2 linked regions of the Mus musculus genome follow. The protein of the gene in region 1 purifies or fractionates together with the protein of each later gene. This does not show direct contact. Links are inferred from orthologs where the notes say so. Each region holds a gene or a part of one and is shown on either strand. Other genes may lie near its edges.

Region 1 (3,550 bases):
GCTTGGGAGGAGGCTTCGTGTCTTCTTTTGAGAGCGTCTTCATGGGCAGGAAGTTACTGTAAGAAGGAGATGTCTCAGCCCAGACACATTAGGGGGGGGGGGGGGTGAGGGGCGCGGCCATGTGAAAGGACAGAGGGCTCAGAGGTTGAGGAGGCAAAAGACAGCACTCAGAACCTGAAGAGACAGAGCCTGAAAAGTGTCTCAGAGTCTGCACCAGGCGGCTCACCTCGGGGAAGCAGCACTGGGGGTCCCACAGACCGCTGTTGAAGGGCGCCCTTTAGGGGGACTGGCTGTGTTTGGTGAGCTGCAGGGGGGCAGCAAGCTCATGACCAGACGCCCCCAGGCTGCCATGCTGAGGTTCATCTGGGAAGCTCTCATGAAATCCCGGCCTAGAGGAGGCAGGCGGGGCTCAGTCCCAGCATCCCCATTGGTCAGCCCAGCCCTCTCCTCACACAGTCCGTATGCTCCACACCTCTCCGCTTAGAGAAAATGCATCTCTGCCTCTGCAGCCGAGGCCTCCTTTCAATGACAGGCTCGCAGAAGGTGACCTAAAGGGACATGAAGAAAGCTGAAGACCTGGAGACTGGCCGCCTTTCACCCTGCTGGATCGTCCCCGTCCCCACCCCCATCCCCACTCCCCCACCCCCAGCGCCAGCTCCCAATCTCAGCCATGGGGGTATTCTAGTTAGTGCTAACTTTCCATATGACCCATCCGAGAGGGACTGCCTAGATTACATGGCTCGTGGGCATGTCTGGGGGGGGGTCTTGATTGTTAATTGATGTAGGAGGATCTAGCACACTGTTAGAGGCACCATTCCCTAGACAAGTGGTACTGGGCTATATAAGAAAGCTAGCCAAGCATGAGCTTGGGAGAGAGGCAGAGAGCAAGCCAGCAAACGGTTCCTCCCCAGTTTCTGCTTTCAGTTCCTGCTTATTAAGTTTCTGCCTTGGCTCCCGTAAAGATAGGCTGTAAACTGGGCGGTGGTGGAGCACACCATTAATCCCAGCTCTGAGGAGGCAGAAGCAGGTGGATCTCCGTGAATTGGAGGCCAGCCTGGTCTACAGAGTGAGTTCCAGGACAGCCAGGGCTGCAAGAGAAACCCTATCTCAGAAAAAATAAAGAAGGCGGTGGGGGGTGGGGGGGGGTGGGAGAAGAGTAGGGAGGGGGTTGGCTGTAAATCTGTAAATTGAAATCACCCCTTCCCTGCCTTCAGTTGCTTTGGCCGGTGTTTTATCGGAACAATGAGGCAAAGCTGATATGAAGCAAAACTCAGAGGACCTAGACACGATACCGTATCCTCACGGGGGCCAGGGGAGAAACTGAGGCCCAGAGGAGACACATTTACGTATTCAAGATGACATATGAGGCAGGACAAGCTCAGTGTAGAGATGTGAGCCTCCCTGTAGGCCTGTCTGTGAACCTGTCTCCATCTCTCAAGTCCCATAGTACATGGATTACCAGTTTTTATCACACAGATGCACACACACACACACACACACACACACACACACACACACACACACAGAGTTGTACTCACTGATGTAGGCAGAGGTTGACACCACACTGGGTATCTGCCCTTCCACCTTATTTTTGAGACAGGGTTTCTCACTGAACCTGGAATTCACTGTTTCAGCTAGACTTGGCTGGCCAGCGAGTCTGGAGAACCCATGTCTCTGTACGGCCAGCCATGAACTTAGAGACACACCAAGCCACACATGGTTTTTACACAGATCCTGGGGATTTGAACTCAGGTCCTCATGCTTCCACAGTAAACACTTTACCCACTGAGCCATCACCCCAACCCAAAATGTCAGTCCTAAAGATCCCCTGTTAGAGGTCAGGGGTCAGTAGGAACCTGGGCAAAGAGCCGCCCCTGAGGCACCAGACTGAGAGAAAGCTGGTGACAGGCATTGTCCAGGAAGTCCTCAAGCTTCAGAAACGCCACACCACACAACTGTCGCCAGTCCCGCCAGTGAACCCCAATCTCCAGCTCGCGAGCCTATGTGGAAAAGATCAGGCTCAGCCCTCACCTGAGTGCCCCCCCCCGTACCCCACAGCTAACCCTAACCACACAAAGGCCAGCCTACTCGGTCCAAGGAGATGATAAAACTCTGGTCCCAGGATTTCTCAGCCACCAGTCCCCATCCTGTCTGGCCCACAACACGATTGTCAACCTTCAACACAGCCAGTACCTCACCTGTAGTGCCAGGGCTTGGATTTAGGGCATGGCCAGAGCAGGGGGCCTCACCACCTCCCATGGTTTCTCCCTACTCACTGGCCAGTTCGCCTCCACCACGCTGCTGCCGGGACCTTGTTCGGAGCCAGCTTTCAGAAGGGCTACCTGCCAGGACAGCCATGGGAGACCGTCCAGGCACAGCTACCAGCAGATCTTTGCAGCCCAGGAGGCGAACCTGCAGTGTCCCTGGTTGGGAGTCAAGAGAGCCCTCTGTCAGCAGCCACCACCAATGGAACCCCAGAGGGACACCACCTGCTCTAGGAGGGTCAGAGCTAGGAGCAGCCGATCTAAACCCTACCTACCACACTTAGTTACCACCCAGCATCCTTAGCAGCCCGGCTAGCTCTCCTTCCTGAGTGCCTATGCAGTGGCAGAACACAGCAGGAATGTAAGAACAGGACTTCTCCCAAGCTTTGTAAAGCCACAGGATGAGGGAAACTGCTACCTTGAGCTCAGGGTCTGGTGGGCACCATGGTCTCAAGTGCACAGGGGCAGGCACCCGAGCATCACTCTAGCTGCCTGCCCTATTCCTTCCCACCTGATCAGCGAGGGAGAGCCCCCAATGGGGACAAAACATGTTTTGTCTAAGATCACTGAGAGTTTTGTCTCCAAGGGTAGAGGACAAGAGGAGGAAGCAGCAGATACCCAGGAGCTCCTGAGGGCATAAACCGGCTCTGAGGACACCATTTTACTAGGCTGGGTCTGGAGGTAATACTTGGAGACCTTACAGAAATACCAAGGGCGGCCCAGGCAATACACTTGTCTTAGGAAATGGAAGTTCGGCTACAAACTAGCAAATGTTTTTGTTTAAAAGCAGGATCTTGTTAGCCCAAGTTGGCCTCAAACTCACTATGTAGCTAAAGATGCCCTTGAACTCCTGATCCTCCTGCCTCACTTCCCAGGGGGTTGGGTTGTAGGTGTGTGCTACCATACCCAGTTAATTTGGTGCTGGGACTGAACCCAGGACCTCATACGCAGTAAGAAAGAACTTTATCAACGTGTCCCCAATTCTTTGCCTTTAAACAAGAGGCTCCTTTTGTCTTGCCGGACTTGCTGGCTTGGCCATCAGCACTCCCGAGAGCCCTCCAAGGCCAAGCTCAGACTCCCCCCTGTTCTAAGGAGCCCTCCTTGATTATCCAAGATAATAGTAACAGAGCTCTGTCTAGCCCTATCTATTGTGTTCTGAAGCAGGCACCAGCCGGGCTCTAGCTTGCAGCTCCCATGATCTGTTGACTGCCAGTCAGCTGCTGCTACAAGAACAGACCTCATGAAAGAACTTACAGGTAGTCCAAGCTGCCCAGGCCCCAAGGCTG
Region 2 (4,194 bases), on another chromosome or scaffold:
CTGCTCCCAAGCCTGGCTTTGTAGATACAAATTAAGAAATCGACCACATTCATTCATTCGATAAGTACATCAATTAATTTCCCATGCAAGGACTCCTTTTTCTGACACTTTGGAGTCTGAAACTCGTTTTCATTGTTCCCAAGGATCCTTCCATCAGACAGCAAAGCTATTCCTTGGTTGATGCTCCTCTCCAGAACAGAAGCAGTCAAGTTTCAAGGTCTTTCTGGGTTTGTGGTTCCATCCCGAGTCTAGTGCTGTGTTTATAATAGCAGACCAATTGAAAACACAAAGAAGCACCTTCCCCATGTCCTCCACCCCCAAAGGTGTGTTGTTAATTAGTATAGAAATAATTTAGCCAAGGGCAGTCTCTGTTCTCTAGGAGTTCATCATTCAGTTCTAGACACTGGGAACCAACCTACCAAATGCTCTGAGGGAGCGGTTAACCTTGACTCCTGTGATTGATCAGAGGGATGATGGTCACTCTGGAAGTCGGAGAATGATGCATAGTTTTCTACACACATGTTAGACAGCGCATATTATCTGTTCTTAAACACTAGTCGCTGTTCTAGTGGATAGGATTGCAACACCCCACCAGAGAACTGCGGAGGCACGTGCCCTCGTGGAGCTGGGCAGCAGCGAAGAGTAGCAGACATTGGACAGAATTGTGTAAAAACGGTGTTAAGAATCCAGTAGGAAAGGCTGAATTCTTGCTAAGGACGTGAGAACCTTCTGTGGGTTGCAGCCGTGGGCGGGTTTTGAGCAGGAGTGGCCACTAGTGGGACGGACAGTAGGGGGGGAGAGGACTGCAGGGAAGGGGAGTTAGTGATTTCAAAGAAGCAAATACGTTCTGCTTGACTGGAAGCAAGGGATTGCGAGCTCCGAGCGCTCAGTGTTCTTCTGGGCAAGGGGCTGTATTTTGAGTGCAAGCTCAAAGGCTCAGAGGTGTCCGGTGGGCTGCGGCGAAAGGCAGTTCTCATTCTGGATTTTTTCTGCTCCGCACACCTAGGCTCTTCGGTTCCCTAGATCAGCAGACGTCTCATTTCAGGCTCGGATTAGAGTCACACGAGGCGGGCCGGGTTCAGGGTGGCAGGGGGGCGCACCCACTACAGAATGCAGCACCAGGCTCTCTCTCCTAGCTCTGCAACCTTCGCTGAGCAGGAGGGGGCGGGGCTTGCTCTGCGGACCCAGGGGGTGGCACGGACTCCGCCCCTCTCCCCAGGCTCCGCCTTCAGAAATATCTGATTGGGTTAGAGTCGCGGAAGGGCAGGGCGTCCCCTGGCGGCCCCGTGGGTCGGGCCGAGGCAAGCTTATTGATTGGCCCTGCAGGGGATTAGGTCATCGCTAGCAGGTTCGGGCGGCCCGGACGCCGGAGGGGCGGCTGAGGCTTCTGTGAGAGGGCGCTCGAGGCTGCTTGAGGCTGCTGAGGAGCAAGCCCGCAGAGGAGGCGGGGAGGCGGTGGCCCGGCTGGTTCGCTTCCAGGCTCCGCCAAGGGTCCGCCGCCGCGCTTTCTGCCGGTGTGCAGTTCGGTGGCTCTCCGCAGGAGCAGCCGCCGTCCGTCCGGGTCCCCGCTGCGGTCCTGAGTCTCCTGCTCCCGCTGACCCCGCGCGCGGGGTAGCCGGCGCCACCCACACCTGTGGATCGGCCGTCGTCGCGGGTGTCCGCCGACCAGCGTGCGAGGCGCGTCCCCTCAGCCCGGCTGGCTCCGCGGGCAGAAATGGGGCTCCCGGCGCTCGAGTTCAGCGACTGCTGCCTCGACAGCCCTCACTTCCGAGAGACGCTCAAGTCACACGAAGCGGAGCTGGACAAGACCAACAAATTCATCAAGGAGCTCATCAAGGACGGGAAGTCGCTCATCAGCGCGCTCAAGAGTGAGTGTCCGGAGCAGCGCAGGAGGGCACCCGGCGGCGGCGCTCCGCTCCCGGTCGCCCGCGCGCTACCGGCTTTCATCCCTCCTCGGGCGCAGAGTGACCGGTGTCTATGCTCCTGCGAGGCAAGAAGGATATGTAAAAAGAGCGAGTCAGTTGCCTCGTAGGAATCTGGTCGCTCAGCCCTCGGCATTCGGGGACGGCCGGAAGGTGGCCATCAGGGTGGTACTCTGGATTGGGTGGGTGTGTGCGACACAGGTGTTTCTGGAGTGAGCCTGCCGCAGCCTGTTGGGGAAAACCACTTCCACGCTTCCCATGGCTTGGTATCCTTAAGGGGGGCGAGTTGCTCACCTCGGTGCCCAGCCTTGGGAATGGAGCGTGCGGAGGGGGCGCTGCCCATCCCTGGGAAGAGGAGGGTGGTGACTGCTTCGAGCCCTGCAGGAGCCCTGCACGCAGCTCTCGCCTAGTCCTGACTACCGGGTTCTCTGCGTTGGGGTGATTGGTTAGCTGCATTCCTGGGAGCACTGACATTAATCCCTAGACATAGATCAGTGCGGTGTACGTGTGCAGGTTTTGATTCTTGTGCTTAGCAGAAGGTGACAGGGGTGGGAGTATAGGACCAGAGTGTTCCTTTACTCTAAACTGTAGGCGAAGGTTTAAAAATAGACCGAACACATCCGTCTTTCTCCGTCTCCCGCTCCCTTGCTCCATACCCGTCCTCTCCCTCACATCTTTTAAAATTCAAAAGGCTGAGAGGGAATCCTCAGCCCTTGCTCAGAAAAAGAGAAGTTTTAAGCTCATTTAAAAGGTTCCCTGAGCTGCTGTGGAGCCATTTTTTGCTGCCCTGCCCCCTTCTCGGTACAAGGTGTATGTGTGTGTTAAAATGTGCATGCCGCCTAACTTTTGAAGAGGAAGCCCAGAGTTTTCCCTTGTGGCCAAATTAGAACATTCTAAGATTGAGCACCTTGCAGGGCAAGAAGGGTACCTTTTTTCATTGGGTTCATTTAAAAATAGTTCAAGCCATTTTTTTTTTCCATTTTGATACTCAGGAAGGGAAGGCAGATAGTGGAATTGTCTTTGACTCTTTACTCTTCCTGTCTCTGTGATGGGTTTCCTAATAGATGGTATCATTCAGCTAAGAATGGTTGCTTCAACAGAGTAGGATTCTAGCTGTTTGAATGGTCCCCAGGCTTCATTCGAGAAAGACCTAAGTGCCAAGATGTCGCTTAGTAAGCCTGTTGCTTTTAAAACTGAAGAGTGAGGGGATGGAATGTCAGGGCAGCAAGTGCCAGTCTTTCCTGGGTGAAATAAAAGCTCAGGGCAGCTATCAGAAGGCTTTCCAGGGCCAAAGATCAGGGCCTGCCTTGTTTCAGGGGACAAGTTACCTCTAGTTTGAGGAAAGTTTGGAACCCACATAGAAGCTGGGTCTGGAAATTTTGGTTGACCCTTATGCTTGCTTGATTGGTTTCTTCTCTCTCTCTTCCTCTCCTTCTGCTCTCCCTTCCTCTCTCCTTTCCCTCTCCCACCCCTTTCCCCTCTCTCCACCTCCTCTTCATTGAAACAGGGTTTCCCTATGCTTGCCTGGAGCAGTGCCCTTCCTGCCTCAGCCTCCTAAGAGTGCTATGATTGAAGGCATGCACCATCCGGGCATGGCTGACCCCAGGCTAGCCTTAATTGATCTTCTGCCTCACTCAGCAAACATATGAAGTGCCTGCACTTCCTGGGCATTGCACTAGATGCTAGGATGTAGCAATGACATTTGGCTGCCCCTGTGGGTGTGGAGGCACAGTACTCTGTGGCAGGCATGGCATTATTTGTGTGTTAACCTCACACTTGGGGAATCACTAGCCCAGAGTCCCATAGCTTCATCCACTGGCCTGTGGTTGTGGATTTTGCGTGGTCCCTTTGTGCCCAGAATGGAGCCTATAGGACCAAACCTACTAGAATTTGGACTTGCATTTTTGTATCTGAGCATTGAATCTGAGGAAGGCATTTTGGGTGACTGGCAATTTGCCTTCCACTATTTTTGAGGAGCATGAATTCTTTAGATGGGAAGACTCATTGCAATATTGGGGTTCAAAGGTTAACCAGACAGGTGGGTCAGCTCTGAGACTGTGGAAAGACTGATAGTGGCATAAATATGCCTGTCTTTCCACTTTATGACGAACTACCCCCCACCCCACTACTTGTAACTTCTGCTTTAACAGAACATGTGATCGACGTGACTTCTTACCACTTGTTTTCAGTGTTTGTACTGTGTTATTGTGAAGTGCTTGCTGCATTGCACATCATATTAATTCCTCTATAGTAATTTTCTTCAATCAGACCA

What was found.
Region 2: the proteins of Pkn3 (region 1) and Arhgap26 purify together in Homo sapiens (affinity purification with mass spectrometry; 3 studies listed by BioGRID and IntAct, with this or other methods). This does not show direct contact. The link is inferred for Mus musculus from reciprocal best matches to the Homo sapiens genes PKN3 and ARHGAP26.

Annotation. Positions count from the first base shown.
Region 1 is NC_000068.7:30,081,689-30,085,238, reverse strand, and holds part of Pkn3 (serine/threonine-protein kinase N3), read right to left. Parts: intron 2,424-3,550; coding exon 2,277-2,423; intron 2,199-2,276; coding exon 2,089-2,198; intron 2,001-2,088; coding exon 1,857-2,000; intron 549-1,856; coding exon 473-548; intron 390-472; coding exon 227-389; intron 57-226; coding exon 1-56.
Region 2 is NC_000084.6:38,991,762-38,995,955, forward strand, and holds the start of Arhgap26 (rho GTPase-activating protein 26), read left to right. Parts: upstream 1-1,391; 5' UTR 1,392-1,714; coding exon 1,715-1,868; intron 1,869-4,194. UniProt on the Homo sapiens protein: GTPase-activating protein for RHOA and CDC42. Facilitates mitochondrial quality control by promoting Parkin-mediated recruitment of autophagosomes to damaged mitochondria.